Linked DNA regions of Mus musculus: region 2 is reported to be linked to region 1. Evidence: microRNA targets listed by miRTarBase, many of them from high-throughput screens and not tested one by one. Region 1 holds a microRNA gene; the other region holds the end of a gene's coding sequence.
What was found. The annotated mature microRNA mmu-miR-21a-3p reads CAACAGCAGUCGAUGGGCUGUC and lies in region 1 at 5,618-5,639, opposite strand. An mRNA with a match to its seed (bases 2 to 7 or 8) in the 3' UTR can be bound and repressed. Matches are read on the target gene's strand: a 7mer-m8 pairs with bases 2 to 8, a 7mer-A1 pairs with bases 2 to 7 and ends in A, and an 8mer does both.

Region 2: the mRNA of Snca is a reported target of mmu-miR-21a-3p. Seed matches in the 3' UTR shown: 7mer-m8 at 6,170-6,176.

What each region holds. Positions count from the first base shown.
Region 1 is chr11:86,578,465-86,591,348 of GRCm38, forward strand. It overlaps Mir21a (microRNA 21a), which reads right to left and starts at 5,694; the gene lies at 5,603-5,694. Vmp1 (vacuole membrane protein 1) reads right to left here. Exons shown (of 12, transcript NM_029478.6): 11 at 8,032-8,134; 12 at 5,394-6,987. The coding sequence ends at 6,844. Gm46289 (a long non-coding RNA gene) reads left to right here and starts at 12,108. Exons shown (of 2, transcript XR_001780284.2): 1 at 12,108-12,291. RefSeq lists an enhancer at 7,732-9,365.
Region 2 is chr6:60,725,097-60,737,980 of GRCm38, reverse strand. Snca (synuclein, alpha) reads left to right here. Exons shown (of 6, transcript NM_001042451.2): 5 at 4,794-4,877; 6 at 5,820-6,408. The coding sequence ends at 5,852. Among named protein-coding and RNA genes, the nearest start is that of Snca, 97 kb to the left of the region's middle.

The DNA.
Region 1 (12,884 bases):
TTTTTTTGTTTTTGTTTTTTTTTTGTTTTTTGACAAGGTCTCACTACACAGCTCAGAATGACCTCAAATTTGAAATTGCTCTGCCTCTGCTTTCAAAGTGCTGAGATCATGGAGGACTGACACCATAATCTGCCTTTTTTTTTTTTTTTTTTTTTTAAAGTGTGCTGATGCCGTTCCAGGCACTGATGATTTCACTTGGTTGTCAGGAAGATTAAAACAGGTAACTCAAGATGGCAAACCACTCCGAAAATGAAGGAAGGTGCATGCCTTTTACCCCAGAGAGATCTCGGCCAATCTCAGGCCAGCTGGGGCTACAAAGTGAGACCTTGTCCCAAAATTGAAAAGGAAAAAAAAAGGCCTATACAAATATGAATTGTTTAGTAATCATCGTTGTTACTCACAAGAGCACCCTGGGAAGCTGGCCAGGCAGGAAAGCTGGGGATCGGGGTGGGGAACGGACCAGCTCTTTGAACCCTGTGACACAGGAGGGCTGAAAAGCTGCCTGGCTTCTTAGGCGGGGCTTGGTTTTCTGCTTTCTTCCGTTCCCCACCAACTCAGTTGATCACAAGATGCAACTTGAACTTTTGCACTGATTTCCACACCAGAGTTCGTAAGAGCTGAGACACCAAGGCCTCGATGTCCACTTCCTTGTTTGTGCCCCCGCTATGCACAAACAGCGGAACCACCCAGTCTCAGTGCTCTCCTGAGGTTGCAGTGAGGACTAAACGATAAGCTTGACGTGACGCTGAAGACAGTGTCTGGTACAAAGCAAGCAATCCTGATCAAAGTTACAGAAACCCACTGTGCTTCCTGGTTCAGGGCGTATCAGAGAGGTCTCTGTGGGAAGGGGACGGTGCAATGGGCAGAGTAGAGGTGCTTGGAGCATTGAGAGCATGGCCAAACGGTGTAGGCTTTGCGCCATGTGGGGCTTAGCAGTCTTCCAACAAGTGACCCAGGAGCACCCTCGGGAGGCCCAGGACCCCATCTCCAGCCGGGTGGGGGAGGGGCTGCAGAGAGCGGCTTCCTCGCTTTATTCGAGGCCTTCTTGGAAGGTGGCTGGGCTGAGGACACCATTCCCTTCGGCCATGGCCAGTGAGCCAGGCTTGGGAGCGAGGAGTAATGCACAGTGGTATGGAGCACACGGTGAGAAGAGGGAGGGAGGCAACTGGGAGTGCCAAGCTCCAGCCAAAGGACCATCACTTTTCACAAAAGCTCGCTACCCCAAAACATTTTTTCTTTTTGATTTTAGACAGCCTAGAATACAATTAGGCAATGCTGTCCAGCTGGGTCAGTCCAAAGAGACTCCAAGAAAAAGTGCTTATTTCCCAACGAGGGGAGCAGAGAGTGGCAAGAGGCTTCCCAGAATTAGCAAGAATTTGGGGTGAAGACCGACAGTGGAGGCCAGGAACTCCCTAAAGACCCTGTCAGTTGGCATAGGTGGCTCAGGGGTCTCAGGAGGCTGGAGTCCTTTCTGAATTCTGGGATGTGGTTTCCAACGCAAATAAAGGCCAATTAGTAGAAATGGGCTGGAGTGTGTCCAAGCACTTCCTGTCTGTCCTTTGAATCGTTTGGAAATGGTTAACAAATAGGTTGGACACCTGGCTCCAAATGAGAGATGGGAATTTCCATGTAAAGCTCCAACTGTAAAACTCTTCCTTCCCCAAGCAATTCAGACCAGGACTCAAGTGCGCCCTAATGATCCAAAGTCCTAAGCAGGCTTGACTAAGTCAGCAACGGCCGCCGGCCACAGATTGGAAGAAACCCTTTACATGTAAAAAGGCTATGCTGAGAGGGACAGCCGTGTTTCCAGCGTCACTGGCTGGTGGATCTGGATGACAAACCCTCAAAAGTTGCATTTCTGTCTGTTCCCAGACCCAGCCAGCCACTTGCAACAGACTCACTCTCACAGGTTGGGAGAATTTGCATAAATTCAGATCTGAAGTGAATTCTGATGGGGAGCAGCAGCCATCCAAAACAACCTCCTTTTTGAGTTCCCATTTATGCCCACACAGATCTGGGCAGGTCCAGTGGGGTCAAAGAACAAGAACAGTTGGCACCTGCCTATCCCTGCCCTGTGCAATTCTCAAGGCTTGAGTAAGCAGCTGCGAATCACAGGCTTTGTAAGATCTCTTCCCTTCCCGGAACAGGCTAAAAATGCAAATGCACTAGGTAGGTTATTTGCTGCACTGCGTGGCCTCACCTCTAAGGCAAACATATTACTTCAGGTGAACTCTTGACCCTGTAGGGAAGGGACTGGAACCCACACCCCTGTCAACCACGGATAATCCTATGTAAGGTATGCTATGTGGTCTCTTAGAGATAGGATGTTGTGTTTAAAAAGTACTCCTAAATTACCTTAGTAGCAATCTTATTAATTCTTCGGTAGCAAGTCAAGCCGGAGGCTGTGTTACCTGTCTATAATCTGAACACCCTATGGCCTAGGCAGGACAATCTCCTCCTGTGCTACACTATTCACTACCACATGCACACACAACCAAGTTATTTATGAAGAAAATGCATCAGCTTTTTTGGTGCCTATTAAAAAAGGTCGGGCCAGGTATAGTGGCGCATGACTTTTATCCCAGCACTCGGGAGGCAGAGAAAGGTGGATTTCTGAGTTTGAGGCCTGGTCTACAGTTTCAGAACATCCAGGGTGACATAGTTACCTATACTAAATGACCTGGATTCAGTTCTGAAAGCTGTTGTTTCCCTGCTCAAACTTTCTTTTTCTTTTTTAAAACATTTATTTAACAAGTGTATGTGCACGGTGTATGAGAAGGACCAAGGGCAATCTGTAGTTGTGGACTCTGTCCTCCCACCATGCACAATCCCAGGGATTGAGCTCAGACGATCAGACGGTCGGGCTTGGCAGCGAGCTCCTTCATCCAGTAAGCCATCATGCTGGCCGTATCTAGTTTTTCTCGGTCTTATATAGTACGCTCTTTTCCTCTCGGCCCTCCCCCTTTCTTGAGATAAGGTTTCAGTTTCAATACTGTTTGTGCTGCCTCAGATTCCCCGGGGCTGAGATCAAGGGGCCAGTCAGAGTCTTTTTCTGAATTTGAGCTTTTTTTCAAGACAGATGCCCTGGAGTTCACTCTGTAGACCAGGCTGGCCTCTGCCTCTCAAGTGCTGGGCTCAAAGGCTTTTCACCACGAGAGCCTGATTTGGACTTTATAACTGCTTTCTGGCCTGGTGGAAGGGTTCTGTGGCAGGACTGAAGCTCGGAGTTTGACTCTTGAGCCTCATGTGGAAGGAAAAGGAAACTGACAGGCAGAAGCTGTTCTTGGACCTTCAGGAACTCACTACGGCATGTGTACGCTCATCCACAAAAATAAAACGTAGTTATTAAACAAACAAACAAACAAACAAACAACAACAAAAAACCCGAAACAAAACTTGTCAAGCTGGAATGTAGCCTCAGCACTGGGAAGAAGACACACATAGTTACACAACACAATACCCCTCAAAATAAAATTTAAAAGGTTTGGCCAAATAGTCTTTTTCCTTACTACAAAAACCTATCTAAGATGCTGAAGGCTTCAAAGGAGCACGTGAAGACCGGTGCAGCCCGGCGGCAGCTCCTGCTAGCGGCAGCGCTAAAAGCCTAGGTTTGAAGTGGAGAACCTGCGATAAGTTTCTGGTGCACTTGCTACATTATGACGTTTCTGCATGTGTCTAAGATCATCTTTGATGATTTAAAAACTGAAGACAGGAGTGGAGAGATGGCAAGCAGGTGGGAGCAAACCCTGCTCATGTGGAAGCCCTGGGTTTAGCTCCTAACACGCCCCACCTGTAATTCCAGCTCCCATGCAATGCCGTGTTCTGACACTGTAATACATGTGCACATACCCCCACACAGATACACGCAACTAAAAAACATATCAGTCTAAAAACCTGAAGTTAAGGCTAGGTGTGATTAGTTCAGGCACTTTGGAGGCAGAGGCAGGCAGAACTCTGAGTCAGAGGCTAAGCTGGTCTACACGGGGAGTCCCAAGACAACTAGGGCTACACAGACAGACCCTGTCTCAAAACATACAGACAAGCAAAATAATGAAACAAAACTGGAGTTATAGGAACATTTACCACAGCAACTTATTAAGCTTAACGCAGGTTTTGTGTTTGGTGGGTGACAGGAATCTCATACTGTCTTTATGCTACAGACAGCAGAGCATGCTGGAGTCAGGAGGAGGTTAAGGAATGCTCACCACAGGAGGTGCTTCTACACTTAGCAGGCGAAAAATACACCATTTGCAGTCTTCTTTTTTTCTAGCTTGTCAGGAGGATGGGACAAGGCCAGTGGTCCTCAACCTTCCTAACGCTGTGACCCTTGAATACGGTTCCCCATGTTGCGGTGATCCCCCAACCACGAGGTTATTTTCATTGCTACTTCATAACTGTAATTTTGCTACTGTTATGAATCATAATGTATTTTAGGAGACAGAGGACTGCTAAGGGGCCATGACCCACAGGTTGAGAACCACTGAACTATATGTTCAGCATCCAAATAAATGGAAGTATCCTTCTTCAGAGCCCCACACTCCAGATTATGTGTACATAAGATTCCAGACCCATTCCATGGCAGTGTCTGATTGAATAAACTGCAGATGGGGCATGCAGCTGGAGTGCAGAGGAACAAAATAAGACTTATGAGATGGAGTCAGAAGGCCCGAGCTCTCTCCAAGTTTCAGGAATATCAAACCATCCACTTGCAAACTTTCTGGGCTCCTACTAGCTAGACTTAAGTAGTAGTATCTTTGGAGACATATAACTATATATTTATGATAGTGGTTAATGAAACCAGGCAACCATGGGACAGAAGAGATATCTCACTGCTTCAGCGGGAATCCAGGACAAATGAACAGAGTTTAGGGCTTGATTAGTCTCCTAGACTTTTAGCTTAGGAAACCATTTTTTTTTTCCTTAAATATTCTATCCTGAAGCAAGTTTTATAAATAAATCCCAAAGACTTAATATAATTCACACTTAACATCTTCTTTCTTCAAATAAACACAAAATAAAATAGTGAGGCAAAGAGATGAAACAATTGCAAAGTAAGGTGGGAATTCTGATGCTAGCTAGCTAACATATGAATTATACTAGTCTAAGCCTGGCAGCACGGTGCATACGAAGTTAATTCTAGCACTTGGGAGGCGAGGGTGTGTTGATCTCTTATGAGTCCAAGACTAGCCTGGTCTCCATAGTGAAGTCTTATCTCAAAATAAATAAGTAAATAAACAAGCAAACAAACAAACAAATAAAAATTTCATTGTTAATTTGGGCATTGCTTTTCAAGTATGGCCAGGTAACAAATTGTTAGTCCCTGTAAAGAAAAAAACATAAACCAACCAGCCAACCAAAAGCCAACAAAGGACAACCTTTCCAAAATCCATGAGGCAAGGTGACTTTTCATTTTTATTTATTTAGTTATGACTGTGACGACTACCCCAATTTCCTAGGAAGTTTTCTCTTGATACTGCTGCTGTTGTACCAAGGTATAAGGGCTCCAAGTCTCACAAGACATAAGGACCACAATTTTTGACTGCAAACCATGATGCTGGGTAATGTTTGAATGAAAACATTTGATATGGATGGTCAGATGAAAGATACCAAAATGTCAGACAGCCCATCGACTGCTGTTGCCATGAGATTCAACAGTCAACATCAGTCTGATAAGCTATCCGACAAGGTGGTACAGCCATGCGATGTCACGACCACGACAGGGGGCAAGCACGAGGTGCTCAGGCAGGGTTTAAAGCAAAGCAAACATCTCTGGTTTGCTGGGGCTTAATGCCAATTCTAGGAAAGAAAGCTGTTTATTTTCCTACCAGGCAAAACAAAATGAACAGGGTCAATCAAAAAAATGTCAAAGGAAAATCACATTGAAATAAAACACAGAAATCACACAGAGAAGTAAGCTTCCACCTGTTAAAGCCGGAGTACAAACAGCTAAAACTAACATGAACATGAAAAAGCCTTTCTTGCTAGTGTCCTCTGATTTATACATCACCACTTCTTGTTTTTATAAAGTAAGAGATTCCCACTCTAGGTGAACCTCATAGTCCCGCTTAGATCTCCAGCCCAACAACAAAACACCTTGGAGGTAGCTCTCTCAGGCAATACATAAAAGCCTGGGCAATTCTGGTTTAAGTCTAATTGGCAAGGCTGCCACTCGCTTTGTAGAAGTGAAAAAGAAACAAAAAACCATAGCACTAAAGAAAACGGACACAATTTCGGAATGATCAAAGATGTCTTTATAAAGTTTTTCACGACTTCATTCTAAATATACAGAATAAAAAATGGCGTACTCATTTGTGAGACACCAACCAGATTTTCCTTATACTGTTTCAAAATTTAAAGATCAATTTCCCCAGAGGGTGTGCAATGCGTCATAAAATGGCCTTTTTGAGGGTGGGAAAGGAAGGCATATTAAATTGTTCCATGATAGACATGCAAGATTGCTATCCAATATATATAACTTATATACATTTGGTGACTTAGAAAAAAACAATCATTTGTGACAAGCCTAAAAAGCCTGACATATTTAACATACTTCAGAAGGTTCTGTGTGGCCCTGTGAAGGTATCAGAAGGCCAGTTTTTGTTAAGTTTGCAGCAGAACATCACATCCACCCTAAAGAATACGACGTGGATTGAACTGAGGGTGTAGACACCTTACCTTAACAAATAAAGTATGTCAGTGTAACATATGGACTAAACTGCTTTCAGGAAGAATGTTTTAAAAATCAACACAGGTTGGAAACGGGGACCTTCCTTCCTGGTTAGAGCCCTCCCAGTGTAAGGCAGGACTCCACCATGTTAACTTCTGCAGATAAAAACTCTCTGCTTATTTAGTTTTCTCCTCTGAGTTCAAGCGCTGCTGGATTCGTTTGGCATAGTTTTGTGCCATGGAGTTAATAATAGACAGGACAAAGTAACACACCATTGCAACCACCAGCTTCTCAAACATCCAGGATAACCAGTTTTCTCCCTGTAGGAAAGAAAGCAGAACAATTCAAGAAAAAGGGTTTCCTCGGTTCAACACTAAGGAGATTATTTGCAACACTTCAAGGGAAACAATGAGAACTTGAGGCTTGCCTATTATACCCAAACAACTAAAAACCGGTCTCTAGGTAGGCTGAAATCCACATTCAGGCCAAGCTTTTCCACACTAGGTTGTCAGTTCAAGCTGTGGGATGGATAGCTGATGCTAACCTGTATGGCTTAGGGAGGGATGGGAGGGTGGGCTGTCCTTTTACACTGTGACAGAGTGGTCTGGTTAGAGTCTATACTTTCTCTACAGCCTTGCAGACCTTGCTTGGAAGGGGAAGAGGACCTAAACTCTGAGAGCTGCTTTTAGAACATAAATGTGAGCCCTCTTTGGCCACAGCGGCAAAGAGCTATTTGAAGTCTAAAGCCAAGGGAAAGCGGCTGCTCTCCCCCAGGCTCCCTGTTCAGGGTGCTGCCTACACATCTGCTGGTTCTTTCCTCTGCCTCAGGAACTGAAGGCAAAACGGCCAGGCAGTTTATTCAAGTTAAAAGTTCAGCTGTGGTAAAAGCCTTGCTTTATTTAAAAGAAAAAAGAAAGAAAGAAAGAAAGAAAGAAAGAAAGAAAGAAAGAAAGAAAGAAAGAAAGAAAGAGAGGAAGGAAGGAAGAAAGGAAAAGAAGAAAAGAAAAGAAAAGAAAAGAAAAGAAAAGAAAAAAGAAAGAAAGAAAGAAAAGAAAAGCAAGCAAGCAGTTGCTTTCCTACAGCAGAAATGAAAGGGGATAACCATTTTACCTACTGCTTGGTGATGGTGCACGTGTTAACTTTTTAACCTAGCCTGGAAATGTATGTAATAACTCATGTAAGATCAAGACAGCATCACACACAACAGAATCCTGTCTTCCATTACCCCATCCTTGTTTCTGAAAAGCCACTAGACATAGACCAATAAACTCCCTCAGCCACCCCATCTAAAACCCGGAGAGCTCCGGATCTAGTTTGAGCCTGCTGATGCCTGCCGAGGGGGGAGAAGCAGGAGGGATCCTCACCTGCGGTGTGCCCGCTTCACTTCTGTGATGAAGCTTCTGCCGCTGCGCCTCCAGGTACTCTTGAAAAGGCTTCTGCAGAGACGGACCTATGCCGGGGACAGCACTGGAGGCAGGTACCAAAGGAAAGACACATTTGGGAAGAAAAGCAAGAGAAATGTTAAAGGAAATCTACTTACCCTTCAGATTAAAAAAAAAAAAAAAAAAAGAAAAGAAGGGCGGCAAGGACTTCATAAAAAGGACAAAATTCAACAATCAGGGTCACAGCAATCCTGTGAAGCTTGGATAGTGATAAAATTCCTCCTGAACTCCTTAGAGGTCTCGCCAGCAGTAATGCATTTGGGAGAAAGTAGGAGAGAGCTCAGAGCCACTGCTATGTCAGGAGGGCGAGGCTAGTGCAGCTGAGACTGCACACTGCTGTGGCACAAAGAATAAAATGAATGACTTCTGAGAAGTCCCACATTTATCACCACTAGTTCCTGTAAGAACTGGTTTAAACCGATTAATAAGGAAATGACTTATGCTTGTGTCATCTCTAGTTAAAAAAGAAACTGCCCTCCCTCTCTCTGACTGTCCCGTCTTCTCAGGGGGATGGGGTGGGTGGGAGGTGCTTTCTCAATCTAAGTCCTTATTAGGACAACCCCTGCGTCATCCTTATCCAAAAAGAATGCATTAGCACATTGGGGAGGCACCTCCCCCCAGCCAGAAGTCAGTGATTAACAAAGGAACAGAGAGGAACTGCGGACCCTGAATCATTTCATGGCTTATGATGGATGTTTGCCCAGAAACTCCTGTACATTACTAAACAGCTTGTTCCAAGATGTCTGGATAGCTATCTCTGATAAGGCTCTGGACCAACCAAGGTCCCCAGAGTTCGTAGAGCTAGGGCTGTAAAACCGGTCTGGCAACTGAAGCTACCAGGCTCCGGTCCCCCGCCACCCCTCCTTTTCTTTTGATAGCTAACAGGTTGTGTTAAACGGTACTGTGGGGCAACTTTGAAAAGTAAACACCCTTACTTCCTGTACCCTTTATTTTCTCATCTGTCTTATTTGCTACAAGGCAAATAAGCCCGTACTTTTCCTAGGGCCAGAAAAAGTATAGCAGGCACATGTGCGCAGTGCCCAGTGCTACCCCGAAAGCGTACTGACACCAGTGAACGATTTCCTCACCCCCCCCCAAGCAGAATAATAAGAGAAGACTCTTTTTTGCTACTATATTTGCCAGCCAGCAACAACTTCCCAACTGCTAGCCATTCTTTTTCTTTTGTACTATTATTACCTATCAGTCTTTTACCTAGTAATATCTTTAACGTTTAATGGAGTCCCTACTTTGTGTCCACACTATAAAATAGAAAAGCAAAATGCAGCTGGGCATATTAGCACACTCAAGTAGTCCCAGCTCTCATGAGACAGGCAGGTGAGTCTCTGTGAGTTAAGAGGTCTTTTGTAGGGACAGTTAGGACAGCCAGAGCTACACGGAGACCTTGCCACAAAACCAAACAGGAGAAAGTACAATCCTAGAGACTCAATGTAGAAAATAAACGCTAAGAGAACTGGGAGGGGAAGGAGAGATGACTGAGGGATGGTGATTATAGCCTAAACAGACAAGCTTTGAGGGCGAGGCAATGCAGTCCGACTGCCGACTGCCAACCGCAGACCTACAATGGCAAACAGTGAGGCAGTGCAGTCCCAGGTGGGACTCGCTCTCAGTAGGTGGACATCTCCTTAGGAGCTTAAGCAACTCTTCCTTATAGTACAGGCAGGAAGGCAATTAGTCTCTCCATTTACACTAGGAATATATTCTCTAGATAACAAAACAATTCCAGCAAAGTGTGTGGACAGATACACTGCCTTTGACTGCACCACTGTACCCAGAGGACAACGTCTGGTTCTTCCCTCCTACATGTGGGTCCTGGGAACCTAACTCAGCTTGTTAAGCATCCTTACCTGCAGAGCCACCTCACAGGTCCCCACAAAGTATTCTTACACCAGAGATTTTGAATGAAAAAAAAAAAATTAAAGCTACTACAACAAGTGCTTTTAACCACTGTGTCAGCTTTCTTTTTTTTTTTTAAAGATTTATTTATTATTACACATAAGTACACTGTAGCTGTCTTCACACATACCAGAGGAGGTGTCAGATCTCATTATGGATGGTTGTGAACCACCATGTGGTTGCTGGGATTTGAACTCAGGACCTTCAGAAGAGCAGTCAGTGCTCTTAACCACTGAGCCATCTCTCCAGCCCCTGACAGGGGCTCAAATAGCTCAGCTGGGCTAGAACTTGTTGTACAATCCACACTTGCCAAGACTCCTGATCTCCTGCCTCTACCGTCACAGTGCTGGGACTGCAGGTCTATACCACCATATCCAGTTTGTCCATAGCCTCACACTGCTAGAAAGCACCCTGCCATCCTCAACACACACTCGAATAGCTCAAAAACTCATCCCTTAAGTTATGTTTGAGAAGTAGACCAGAAATACAAATCTCTTCTGGCACACCAAGAACAGTATATTTGCTGCTGTGTGGGTGCATGTGTGCATGTATACATACATTATTACAGTTCAGTGTTGGTTGCAGGTGTTATTCTGAAAGCAATAAATTCAGAGCCACTGTGTGTCCACAGCTAAGAACTCGCCCCTTCTTTTTTTTTTTTTTTTTGAGACAGGGTTTCTCTGTGTAGTCCTGGCTGTCTTGTAGACCAGGCTGGCCTTGCACTCAGAAATCTGCCTGCCTCTGCCTCCCGAGTGCTGGGATTAAAGGTGTGTGCCACCACTGCCCAGCAAGAACTCTCTTATCTAACCCTCAATGGTGGGAGAAGCTCAGAGAACTAGCTTTGTGATATAGAAGAACACAATGCTGTGGAAGAACAAATATAGATAGAGCTATGATTTAGTATTAAACTCTTTTTTCGTTTTATTATTATTATTATTATTTTTAGTATTGAACTCTTTTGTAGCACCCTTATTAGACTAAAATGTACTTAAGCCAGCTTTATAAATAGCTACTTGGTTTCAATAAGAAAGCATTAAAAGAGGGAAGGTTTCTGATTTACCTTCTTCTTGTTGTCCTTTAAAACAATAGGGAGAAAAATATTCTATGGACAAATTAGTAGGCAGAGGCAGGGGGATCTGGCTGAGTTTGAGGCCAGCCTGGACTACAGAGTTCCAGTACAACCAGGGCTACACAGAGAAACCGCGTTTTGAAAAACAATCAAGCTGGGCAGTGAGTGGTGGCACATGCCTTTAATTCCAGCACTTGGGAGACAGAGGCAGGCGGATTTCTGAGTCCGAGGCCAGCCTGGTCTCCAGAGTGAGTTCCAGGACAACCAGGGCTATGCAGAGAAACCTTGTTTCAAAAAACCAAAACCAAAACAAACAAAAAAAACACCCCCCCCCAAAAAAAACAATAAAAAATTAAGCCCAAAGCAAACAAAAAAATTTTGTAGGTGGTAGGTTTGCTTTCTGTTACTGACATTTTTGGGGGGGGGGGGGTAGGAGGGAGGGTCACAAAACAACAAAAATCAATCCTAAACTCTTAAAAGAAAAACCTCAAAAGTTCAGAACTCAAAACTGATTTCATGTGTTTCCCATGGTTTTGTACCTAAGTATATGTTAGCACAAACAGAAGACAGACTTCCTGACAAACAGTAATTACTTTTAAAAAAAAAGAAAAGAAAAAAAAGACAAAAAGAGAACGAGAACTGCAGCAGCACATAGTGACTCACACCTGAGATGAGTGAGGCAGGAGAGTGTGTAAGCCAGGTCAAGCCAACGTGCGCAGTGTGAGAAGGGGCCGAGCTCAAACAGAGCACACAGACAACACTAAGCAACCAACCAAACCAACAAACAGATAAATACACTCAAAATAACACTTGAGAGAAATAAGAGTCCTGACCACTTTGTAAGTAAAATCTTTATTTATTTATTTTTTTTGGTTTTTTGAGACAGGGTTTCCCTGTATAGCCCTGGCTGTCCTGGAACTCACTCTATGGACCAGGCTGGCCTTGCACTCAGAAATCCACCTGCCTGCCTCTGCCTCCCGAGTGCTGGGATTAAAGGCGTGCGCCACCACCGCCCGGCCAAATCTTTATTTTTAAAATAGTTTTAGAAACGTTTAACTCTATTTGTCTAAATCATATATCTAGCAAGAATATGCATTCTGAACTCTCCTCATCTTTACTCATAAAGGCTTGCGTCATTTTGTTCTCAGATCTCCCGAGGAAGCTGCAGAGCTGGGGGAGTCTGTTGAAGAGTGGGTGGGGTAAGTATTCCACAATGCACACAGCTCTATTTGTCGCTTCATGCAGAAGTCGCACTCAATCCAAGTGCACTAGAACCACCCGGCACCACGCCTCCCTCCTTTCATGGAATTCTTTCAAACCGTGGCTCTAGCAAGTTGGTTCGTCACATATAAGAACACATCTAATTAACTTTGAGTCCCTTCTCCGTCATGGAGATAGTAACCTAACTAGATCTTACTATGAAATACCTGAACTTTTCCTTGTGGTTGTCATGATTCTGTTTGGATTGTTCTAGTCAGATGTGTTTTTGGTTAATGTATTGTCATAGCACTATACTTACCAGGAATGTGAGCTGAAAAAGTATACTGTTTTGCTGAAAATGGGAGATCATGTCTATAATCACTGCAGTGGGTAAACTGAGGCAGAAGGATAGCAAGTCTGTGGTGAAACACTGTCTTAAAATCAAAACAAGATCATTCAGGCAACTCAGTGGGTGAGGGCTGATGAGCACTAAGGACAGACGAATGGACGGACAGAGGCGGACAGAGACAGACAGACAGACAGACACACACACCATAAAAACAACAATGCCAGGCATAGTAGCATATGCCTT
Region 2 (12,884 bases), not on the chromosome of region 1:
ATTTGACAGGCTCATATTTGTGTATATACAAAATATTTATGCATATATTTGCATATATTAGGCATATATTTATGCATATACAGAGCAAGCACCTGTAGCTTCTATAAGTTCATGATTGAAATTCCTATGATTTGCCATGGAACACTATTTCTTCCTTTTGGCCCTTACAATCTTTCTGCTGCCCCTTCTTCACTACCTACTGGTCCTTAGAAGAGACAGGATAAGTGTAGTGTTTATACCTGAGCACTAATACTCTGCCTTTTGTAACCTGGAACCACGTGTCTCTACATTTACCATTGTTCACTGAAAGGAGAGGTTTATCTTATTAAGGCTGAAAGTAGCTTTTGTTCCATGCTACTGTGACAGACAACAAAGAGGAATGGCAAGAACCTGTACTGGTTGAGGGGTTTACTTGTGTCTTTGTGATGAACAGTCCTGGAATTTGGGTTTTGGTATAATAAAATGACTTCCAGGACAAATTTTGTTCAGCCTGTACTTTTTTTTTTAAATAGATCTATGTTATTTTTTATTTAAAATGGAATTCTGGGATGTATTTTATATTAGAGATACTTAACACAGTAAGATGTATGCTTAAATAAACCTTGCCCTATCATGTCAAAGTTCTTTTAAATGTCTGCCTTTTTCTTTATGGCTGTTGTTTTCTCCATCTTTATGATCTATTGAGCAAATGTGTTACTGTATTTATTAATGGGTTGATTAATATTACCTGACATTATAACAAAATACTGGTCTCATCCAAAACATATGTTTAGCATAAGAGCAGTGGGATCAGATCTTGACCTGCTGCTTTCAGTGTTGTAAGTGTAGATATCAGGTACTTGTTTAGCCCTTACATTTGAAAAAATACCATATACTCTTCCAGCTGTCTTTCAGAAACCCAGTTTTCCTTTAGCTCCTTGTAAATTTTGAAGCAGAGATCACCTTTTATTTTCCTGTATTTATATTGGTAGATAGAACATTGTTATTTTCTTATATTAAATGTCACTGTGGAGGTGACAAATGATTGCTGACAGTGGATAGTAATTACCAGGGTCAATTGTAAATTTTGGTCAGTTCTGATCTTAAATTCTGTTTACGTGAATAATCTTTGTTTTCTGTATTGCAACATTGCCACCAAGAATTATCCTTTACAAAATACTTTGTTGTAAACATCAGTGAAGATTATGATGCAAGCTATGCATGGGGAGGTAAGATGTATACTATACATGGGAGCCAAGTAGCATGCAAGTTAGGGTACAGTCTATGCATTAGGGGCCAGGAAGTTTCAAGACATTTATGAGGGTTGGGTAGGATGGAAACTGTACATGAAAAGACCAGGTAGCATGAAAGCTATATTTTAGGAACTAGAAACATGCAAGATATATGTGGAGGTGGCAGGTAGGATATAAACTATGCATTTGGAGTCCAGGCAGAATGGAAACATGTTAGAAGGATTCAAGCTATGCATTAAGAACCAGACAGAATTCAAGTGATAAGGAGGGGGTATGGAGGGGGGGGTAGTGGGATACAAGCTGTGCATTAAATGCAATGTGACCTGCTGGCTATGCATTAGGGGCTAGGTAGGATGCAGGATATACAGTAAGGACCAAGTAGCATGCATTAAAGTCCAGGTAGTATACGAGTATACAAGCTACACAAAAGAAGCTAGGTGGTATTGCAGCACAGATCTCTCTGAAAAAGAGGAGATACATATTTGATATCCTTGATACAGAATTTTGACGATCTTCTCTGCAGGAAAAATGGTGGATGCGAGCCTGTCTTTTGTATGGCCACTAAATCTGTACCAACACCTTGACCTGTACTAGATCCTCTATCTTTGCCCTTTGACAGGTTTTGCCCACATGCAGGTTACCAGTTAGTGTTTTTTTGTTTGTTTGTTTGTTTGGTTGGTTTTTTTTTGTTTCGTTTTATAGGTCAAGACACTTGCTTTTTTATTTAGACAGCATCTCTCTTCTTTTGAGTATGTATTTATATTTTAAATGATACAGTTCTCTGTTCACAGATAAACTTATGGACACATCCGTGGTTTCACTTTTATTATAGAAATTATGGATCCTTTATGATTTTATGGAACCCTTGCCTACAAATTAAGCTGTGAATTTTTAAAAAAATCTTTGATAAATTTGTAGCTGGAGCTGTGAGTCCCTCCATGTGTACTCTTTGGATGGTGGTTTAGTCCCTGGGAGCTCTGGGGGTACTGGTTGCTTCATATCGTTGTTCCTCCTATAGGGCTGCAAATCCTGTCTGCTCCTTGGGTCCTTTCTCTAGCTCCTCCATTGGGGACCCTGTGCTCAGTCCAATGGTTGACTGAGAGCATCCACCTCTGTATTTGTCAGGCACTGGCAGAGCTTCTCAGGAGACAGCTATATCAGGCTCCTGTCAGCAAGCACTTGTTGGCATCCACAATAGTGTCTGGCTTTGGTGACTGTATGTGGGATGGATCTCCAGGTGGAGCAGTCTCTGGATGGCCTTCCCTTCTGGTCATCAATAGGAGGAGAGGCCGTTGGTCCTGTGAGGGCTCAATGCCCCATTGTAGGGGAATGCCAGGACCAGGAATTGGGAGTGGATGGGTTGATGAGCAGGGGGGAGGGAGAGAGGATATGGGGTTTTCAGCAGGGAAACCAAGAAAGGGTAGATACTTGAAATGTAAATAAAGAAAATATCTAATAAAAATATTAAGCACACATACAAAAAAAACTTTGATAAAGATAACTCCTCAAGATTTGTGGAACACGGTGTTTCCTAAATGAATGCCAGGAGAGTACAATCTTTAGCACAGGAAAATGTAGTACTAAGAAACACAAACACGTATACTATGTTTTTAAAAAGAAACCAACAATTATTGATTTACAACTTGGATGATTTTATGATTAAAATTGACATGAAGGGATTTTAATTGATTGTATTTCATGGTAAACCCAGGAAGGAATTTCTAAGCAACATTCAGCATTATCTGGATGAACTCTGAAGGGCAAACACAGTTATCCCCTTATACACATGGACACCCACAGCCTGTGACATCCTCTTCTACTAATGTAGGAATATCAGAGTTAGGAGCCCCCAGGGTTGGCCTTTCATATTGTCTTATCCAGTTTATAACATAAATCTCACAAGTTACATTGGAAAATGCACTGAAGAGGTGGTTTACTATATTTCCTTCCTATGAGCTGTATAAAAATCACGTAAACATCAGTGAGAGGGGTCCATTGTGTCACTTGCTCCTCCCAGTTATATACAAATGAAAAGATCTCTTTGCTGTCTTTTCTCAACACAGTTAGTTGATGCTCAGGAGTGGTGGTAACATGCCCAGAGTCACAAAAGATAACTTAGGCTGGAATTGTAATGTGCATCCTATGATCAAGTTCTGGGGCTGAACTACCACACAACCAAAACCTGGATTCTTATACTACCATGTAAAATACTGTTACTCTACATTTTGAAGTGAGGTGATTTGGGGACAGTTTAAGACTTATTTAACTTATAAACAAATTGGCCTCTCTGGGTTTGTAACCAGAGATTGTTGATATCTATACAGCATGATAGGATGATCTGTAAGGTGCCCTGCCAAGCTACCGAAAGCATGACCTTCAGAGTCTGACCTTGCCTTAGTGTCAACTCTTATTTCTTCCCTCTGCCCACCTGTCCATTATGCCTATGATAAAAGCAGAGGGAGATAGCATTTACAGTGAGTATATTGCCCACAGAAGCTGAGCATCCTTTGATCTCATTGAAATAGACCATTTAGCCTCTAGTTGCTCTTTGAGTATTTGCTGAACTCTGTCATTCAATAATTACTTTGGTGGAACAAATGGAAAAGAACAAAAGATCTTTGATGAAGGATACAAAAAAGCTCCATCATGTCAAGCTGAATGCTAGGGTGTCTGCATTGTGGAGAGATAATCTGAAATTTTGTCCAATCATATCTTTGTTTTGGTTTTGGTTTTGGTTTTACTTCAAGTACATATAATTTCAAACTTCAGCTTTCCAAAGAGAACTATTTCTTTGGCAGCATTTAAGAATGAATTATTGGGGCTCAAAATATAGCTCACTGTTTAAGAACATATGTATTTTTCTTCCAGAGGACTCTAGTTTATAATCTAGCACCTATATGGAGAATCACAAGGATCTATAGCTCCGGTTCCAGGGAATGTGATGCCCTCATTATTCACCACACATGCACATAGTCCACACACATACTCACAAATAAAAGAAAAGAAAACAATGAATTATAAAACACATGTACTTTACCTTTTAAAATTTAGGAAAAATAAATAATAATGATAATTTGTCAATATTTGTTTTACTTTTTTGGAACATTTTTACTTTTTCATTGAAATGCTATGTGGGTTCTGTCTACAAATGACATCCTGTTAAACATTACACCAAAAATAAGCTATCCTTATTAGAGAATTGGCAAATGATTTCAGAAAAGTTTTGAATACATTACTGTTATTTGATTCATCATTACCCATTGACTACAAACCATTGTTACTATAGCATTGCGCTTATGGAGAGAACTTATGGACTTTAGCTTTGGCAACTTCCAGTGTAGTTAATTACCTGTGCAAAATATTTGTACTCTTTAGATTGGTAACCCATGCATGCACAATGTTTTTTCCAGTGGTTTGGTACACTTAGAATCCATCAATAATACAGAAGAATGCACTTCTGATAACACTTCGTGCAGCACCTTGAAGATAAGGTGTCTTTTTCAAGCTGGTTTTCAGAAGTTAAAACACTCTCTTATTGTGCTTTCTCTTCCCTCTCTGTAGGGTGAGGAGGGGTACCCACAGGAAGGAATCCTGGAAGACATGCCTGTGGATCCTGGCAGTGAGGCTTATGAAATGCCTTCAGAGGTAAATGCCTGTATAAAGAAAACTAAGCAAAACACTTTAGGTGTTTAATTTGGAACACATACCATCAAAACCCTGCCACTATCAGATCTCTCTCACATTATGGTTGGCATAGTTCAATCAAGAAAATATTTTAGAGCAAATGATTTTAATCTTTGTGGGAGAGGGTAAGGGATATAGTAGGTCAAAATTAAAACATTCTAGAACAAGAGACTGGTAGTAACAAAGGCATATGGAAATGTCTGAGTAACAACGGGCAGTTATGAATCATGGTTAGAAAACAGAAAAATGACAGATTAAGGCTGAAGACATAACTAAGGTTTTAGACAAACTGTAGAGCCCCAAGTTACCATCATTTAAGTTTATTTTTACATTTGGAAAAAGAAGAGTTTGATGATAGGTTTAGTTTAACAGCACAATCCTAATTAGAGTTAATTTTGAGGAAGGCTATCAAATTCAGTTACATTGGGTCATTACTGTCATGAATGTTATCTGGATTTTGTCCAGGAGGCTTGGGCTTTCATGTGAAAGATCCTTCATGGAAGCAATTCATGAAGGTGGAGTGTTCTAATGGGGGAGAGAAAGGCGAAAGATGAGCTCTGGAGGAGGCTTCATGCAGCTTACCTAGGTGTGCACAGCTCACACTGCAGAGCAAAGGAGAGAATCCAGAGACCCTGCCAATTCACACTGCAGGAGGAGAGCACAGATCAAATGATATACCTAGAATTGGGCCTAATAATCTAACGGTGATGTCCTCTATAACTTACAGTTGATACGTATGAAAAAGCCAATAAATGTCAATGACAGATAAGTTCCAAACACTGCTCTGAGGATCAATTTTATCTGATTGAAATGATGAGCCCTCCCCCACTGTGAAGCAGACAGTTGATATCTGTCACTTCACTGACAAGGCATGCTGTTATTATTTTCTTTTCCTGATATTAGGAAGGCTACCAAGACTATGAGCCTGAAGCCTAAGAATGTCATTGCACCCAATCTCCTAAGATCTGCCGGCTGCTCTTCCATGGCGTACAAGTGCTCAGTTCCAATGTGCCCAGTCATGACCTTTTCTCAAAGCTGTACAGTGTGTTTCAAAGTCTTCCATCAGCAGTGATCGGCGTCCTGTACCTGCCCCTCAGCATCCCGGTGCTCCCCTCTCACTACAGTGAAAACCTGGTAGCAGGGTCTTGTGTGCTGTGGATATTGTTGTGGCTTCACACTTAAATTGTTAGAAGAAACTTAAAACACCTAAGTGACTACCACTTATTTCTAAATCTTCATCGTTTTCTTTTTGTTGCTGTTCTTAAGAAGTTGTGATTTGCTCCAAGAGTTTTAGGTGTCCTGAATGACTCTTTCTGTCTAAGAATGATGTGTTGTGAAATTTGTTAATATATATTTTAAAATTATGTGAGCATGAGACTATGCACCTATAAATATTAATTTATGAATTTTACAGTTTTGTGATGTGTTTTATTAACTTGTGTTTGTATATAAATGGTGGAAAATAAAATAAAATATTATCCATTGCAAAATCTTTCCTGGTTCCTTTTACTTTAGTAACAAAATCATGCATATCAGGAACATGAACATTTAATGACAACTGACACAGTGAACTGGAATGAAAAGTTGCAACATGTCTTAAGGAACCGAGGGGATTTAGAGATGGAACAGCAGGAAGGATTCTCCAGTGAGATTGAACACAGCCAGCTTTATCTACAGTTCTGCTCAGAGCTGTGGCTGCACTTGAGGAAACACTTCATTGGAACTAAAACGTGTGAGGGATAGTGAACTTTTACATATTCATAAGACACATTAGCATATCAGAGGCAGGCCATTGAAGAACCTTAATTTGGAATTTATGGCATGTATATGTGTGTGTGTGTGTGTGTGTGTGTGTGTGTATTTGTGTGTGTGTGTGTGTGTGTGTGTGTGTGTGTGTGTGTGTATAAAAGAACCCAGGAAATACCTTAAAACTCCTCAGGGACCCCAGGCAGTGGGCTATGTATATGATACCTTAGCAGGTACGCAAAGGTAAAAGCAAAATGGAACAAAAGGCAATGTCAATTTGTGAATAACAGGGATTTGGGAATATCTTTTAGGAAAAGGTTTCTTTAGATAGGCTTAATTACCCATGAATGAAGACAAAAACTTGACTGACTGAGAAATTACTCAGTTCATCTTCCTAATTATTCAGAAGAAAACCAGCAAAGCCACAGTGAAAACCACTTGCAGAGAGTACACTTTCTGTAACGAATATTGTTGCTCCTGTACGGTCATGAGTAATTGATGTGTGTTGGACAGTGACAGGAACAGAAGAGGAGTGGGAGACCATGAAGATAGCACCACTGGAACTTCCTTCTGCCCAGTTGAGAAAATACTATGGAGTGTTCAGTTGCATGTGTGCTTTGACCCTGGAAATAGGTGATAACTCCTTATCTAATTTATGTTTCCTTGAAGCTGATGAAGGATTCATTATTAAGGTAGCCCAGATGGTGTTTAGGGTACATTATATATTTACCGAAAGTACCCTCTTCTTAAAAAGGAAAGATACAAACAGAACACAATCAAATTGATGACAATGACAATGAGCAGTGTAGGACTGGAGGCAGACTGTGCTTGACCTTGAGAACTGCTATTGATGGGTATGGTATTGTAAAGCTCTTCTTCTCTTAAGCAGTGCCACGCTGTCAATGTGCGAACAGTTAATGAGTTTTTGCTGTTTAGCTTTCTTTTATCTTAAGAGTGTTTCACTCACCACCTAAAGGAAGCTCCTTAGTTCACACAAGCCCTGGTAGGAGTCCAGCCCTTGAGAAGTGCAGTCTGAGGATGCCTCTTGACTAGAGCTTTAGCTTTCCAGATTTAAATCCCAAGTCAGAGCTGTTTGATTTGTAATGAGTCCACGAAGGACTTTAAAGAAAGCCGTCCACAGCAGGCTTGGGCCCCACAATTGGCAGCACTACACAATCAAATGTACACTTTGGAATTTCAACTTTTGCCTTCTTTTCAAAAGTCTCTTCTCCAGATTGTAAGATGCAAGTATACTTCATAATTTGTATAGCTATTTGTGGCATAATGGAATTTATACATAGGGTGTCATACAACTAGTACACTTATAATCTATTCAGAGCCAGGAGGCTTATGGTTTGAGACACTGTCTCAGGAAACATATTCAGAATGTTTCTGCCTCTAATTCCTGGAGGAGTAATTTAAAAGCATTGTGATTTTATGTGCCATATGATTGCTAAGTGTGTCTCTTATTCTAATAACTGATCTATCGATATCTATCTATCTATCTATCATCTATCTATCTATCTATCTATCTATCTATCTATCAATCATCTATCTATCTATCTATCTATCTATCTATCTATCTATATCATCTATCATCTATCGATCTATCTCTCATCCGTGGTTTGCACATAGCTCCCAGTGCTAAGAATTTCTTAACTCTTGTTCTGATGAAATGCACACAATTTGGCTTCTGAAGCTGGCTGATGTATAAGAGAGAAAGGACTATATTTACCTCAATCAGCACAAGGATGGCAGTAGATATCTCTGTAAGAAAGAAGAGCAAAATGAAGAGCTAACTTAGCTAACCAAAGTTTGGCATGATAGATGAGGAGTTAGGCATTAAGGGCTAAAAATAGTAGAAAACTATATTTTTATGTTTGAATTTTGTAGAAGAATAAACAGTTTTATAGAACTATGGTTAACTTCAAATGTCATATCACCTAATGGAAATATACTGAGAGGGCTGACAAATCCAGTTTGTATTTTTCTTGCTTCTGTTAGTATTCTTTCCTTCGGAGATGGGTGAGTATTACTTGAGGGTCTTCAGAGATGGAAAGGTCAGAGAGAAGGAGGAAGGTAGGGGGGAGAGAGAGAGAGAGAAAGAGAGAGAGAGAGAGAGAGAGAGAGAGAGAGAGAGAGAGAGAGAGAGAGAGAGAGAGAGAGAGGAGCTTTCTGATTCCAAAGCTTTCTTCTGTTTCCCTCAGTTTCAAATACACAACAAGCCAAAGTGTTAACATATTTCAAGACATGTATTCTGAGTCCTGGCCTTGGGCAGCAGAACTGTGAAACCATGATTAGCAACTTAAAGCTTTTAGACCCTATTTCAGTCCCCCAGGAAGGGGAAAGATTTAGATCTTAAGATCCATCTTCACTATTTCTTTATAAAAGTCCCTATAAAAGGCTTAGGCAGCTTCTGGGCAATTGAGCAAACAGAGATGTCCTGAGGTTCCTAACACACACCTACGATGCTCTTTGTGTCTTTTTTATGTGGTTGCTCCTGGAGTCTATCTTTTGCAATAAACTGGTAATATACTGAGTAAGTTGTATATTATTACTCCTAAAAATCATTAAAACTAAGCAGAGAATCTTGGGAACCTCTAATTAAGGAACCAAGGTCAGAAGTTGGGAGTAACTTGAAGACCCAGTACTCACTACTGGCATCTTTTACTGGAGTTTTGTGGGACACTTTAGCCTGAGTGCAGTAATTTTTTTCTTTTTATAGGAGTCTGTGGTATTTAAACCCATCCCAAGGAAGAAAATACATTCTTCTAAAAACTTAGCATACTGCCCCTGGCATTGCCATGGGGAAGTTGTATTTCTATGTAGGATGAGTGTGTCTGCATTCTTTCTTCCTTGGGCATCGCAACACATCAGGACTGGCATGATCATGCTAGCCCTGTCCCTGAATTTGGATATACTTTAAGAAAACGTTATTTGACTAATATATATATTTAGGTGTGATTTTAATACATAATTTTAGGTCATTTAATTCTCAAAACAATACCAAGAAATTGAATTTTCTATCTCACTTATTACATGAACAAGATTAAGCACCTAATGGCTAAAGAGTTTGATCAAGACTACCTCTCCAGTAAGTGGAAGGATTTAGAGTCCCAGCCTTCACAAAGTCTCTAGAAGAAGAATGTGCCACTACATTAGAGAAATTTCTAAATGTCTGATCACTAGTGTGGATTGTACTGCTCAAGGTACAAATACTGGGATGCTTCTATTTTTCTTTATGTGCCTTTGTGCTATGAGAGTTTTATATCTGAAGAGATATTTCTTTTCTTCTCTCTTCTTTTCTTTTCTTTTCTTTTCTTTTCTTTTAATTGGATATTTTCTTTATTTACATTTCAAATGTTTTCCCCTTTCCAGGTCTCCCCTTCAGAAATTCCATATCCCATTCTCCTTCCCCCTGCCTCTATGAGGTTGTTCCCCCACTCACCCACCCACTTCTGTCTTTCCTCTCTGGCATTCCCCTACATTGGGGCATCAAACAACCTCAGACTCAAGAGCCTCTTTTCCCAGTGATGTCCAACAAGGCCATCCACTGCCACATATGCAGCCAGAGCCATGGGTCCCTCCATGTGTATTCTTTGATTGGTGGTCCCATCCCTAGGAGCTCCAGAGGGTATGGCTGGTTGACACTGTTGCTCCCTAAATGGAGCTGCAAAGCCCCTCACCTCCTTCAGTCCCTTCTCCAACTCCTCCATCAGGGACGCCATATTCAGTCCAATGGTTGACTGTGAGCATCTGCCTCTGTTTTTGTCAGACTCTGGCAGAGCCTCTCAGGAGGCATCCAAATCAGTCTTCCATCAGCAAGCACTTCCTGGCATCCACAATAGCATCCAGGTTTGGTGGCTATATATGGAATGGATCCCCAGGTGGGGCAGTCTCTAGATGGCCTTTACTTCAGTCTCTGCTCCACACTTTGTCTCCATATTTCCTCCTGTGAGTTTTTGTTCAACCTTCCAAGAAGGACTGAAGCATCCACATTTTGTTCTTCATTCTTGGGCTTCATAGGGTCTGTGAATTGAATCTTGGATATTCCAAACCTTTAGTACATATCATGTGTGTTCTTTTGTGACTGAGTTACCTCATTCAAGATGATATTTCCAAGTTTTATCCATTTGTCTGCAAGTTTCATGAAGTCATTGTTTTTAATAGCTGAGTAGTACTCCATCATGTAAATGTACCACATTTTCTGTGTCCATTCCTCTGTTGGGGGACATCTGGGTTGTTTCTAGCTTCTGGCTATTATAAATATGGCTGCTATGAACATAGTGGAGCATGTGTCCTTATTACATCTTCTGGATATATGGCCCGGAGTGATATAGCTGGGTCCTAAGGTAGTACTATGTCTAATTTTCTGAGGAACTGCTAGACAGATTTCCATTCTGATATTAGATAATCTTGTCACCCATTGACAGGTATTTTATTGTAGTTAAATGATGCATTTGCTGATGATCTTCCTCATTTATTTCCAGTAAAAACTGAAATATTGATGTAATCATAACAATAATCTGTCACAAGGCAAGCTTTGCCATGTCTCCATTGAATCATTGGCTTCTGCCAAATGGCCAAAGAAATAGATAAATTCTTTCTTTTCTTTTCTTTCTTTCTTTCTTTCTTTCTTTCTTTCTTTCTTTCTTTCTTTCTTTTTTTTTTTTTTTCGAGACAGGTTTTCTCTGTATAGCCCTGGCTGTCCTGGAACTCACTCTGTAGACCAGGCTGGCCTCGAACTCAGAAATCCGCCTGCCTCTGCCTCCCAAGTGCTGGGATTAAAGGCGCACGCCACCACACCTGGCGATAAATTCTTTCTTAACTAGGAATTTTAATTGTGTTTATTTATCAGTGAAAACCTAGTATATGAATGCATTACCATATTAAGGGAATAAGCTAAAAATTTCCATTGGCCAATGATATTGATCCTTTAATGTTTTGCGATAAAATTCTAATTTCTAGTTACACTTTGATAGAGTGAGGCCTTATTTTTATAGTTAGTGAAACATATGATAGAAGAGCTCAAAATGTAGCAGAACAGATATATCATCAGAACTTTTTGAAAGATGACTTTGTTTCCTTTAATCTCAACATTTCTTCTTCTTTGCTGCTCACATGGTCACTGTGTTAATCTTAGATCTCATATTAGAATCAGTTAAAAATATTTCTTCAAAGAGTTATACTTTGACTCTATAGTAACGCTGAACAATACAATTTAACTCTAAAATCATCCAGGACTGCAAAGGGGATTTCAAAATGCTCCACCAGAAACTAGAGATGAATATCCTAGGCTGATTACTCTTATGAGTTTTATGAAAGCATATTCTTGCATTATCTGAAAGGTCAGTGACCAGAAATCCCCATTGTTTCTATAGCAACATAGCAAAGTCATGCTGCCTTAGAAATCTGTTTCATATTAATTATGTTCCTTCAAGCCTTTTTAACTGCCTTTTGTAGGTAAATAAACACCAGGTTTATACCGTAAAAGGAGATAGACACGAACTCATGTTCATAAATATGGAAGTTAAGCTGGGATCTAGTAACGTCAAATCTAAGCAAATATAGTGGCAAATCTATGTGTTTATCTTAGGAAGGATATAATATTCTTGACTTAGAATAGACAATGATGCATGCTTGGGAGGCTGACCAGGGGAGTGTTGAAGACCCAGATATCAAAACAAGACCCTTAAAGATTGTCTAGCCTATTGCTAGTGGTAGTACAAACAAATAATTTGATACCCAGATGGGTACCTCTATTTATCGGTCAAAAATGCATATGGCAATCATAGTATGTCAAAGCATTGCTCCACAAAAGATAAATATTATGTAGCATGTTTTGGATTATTACTGGCTGATAGAAAATGGTCTGTGAGTCTGTGATGCTATTACTGCTTAGAATGAGTTATATTCTTAGAGTTCTGTAAGAAACATGATGTCAGATATGCTCAGTTATAGAATTTATATCTACTTTTAATAGAAAATACCAAACAAGGTTAAGATAATGTTGAAACTACTTTGGGGACTAGAGACAGAAGCTAATTGATATTGGGACATTTTAATAGTTTATTAAAAAACAGTACTACCATACATAGACTTAATGGAGTATTGTTAAATTATGAGAACAATGATAAATTACTGAGAGCCAAATATGTGTATCATCCATAAACAATGTGTTGATGAAGCACATCTATCTTTAGATCCAACTATATTCATCAC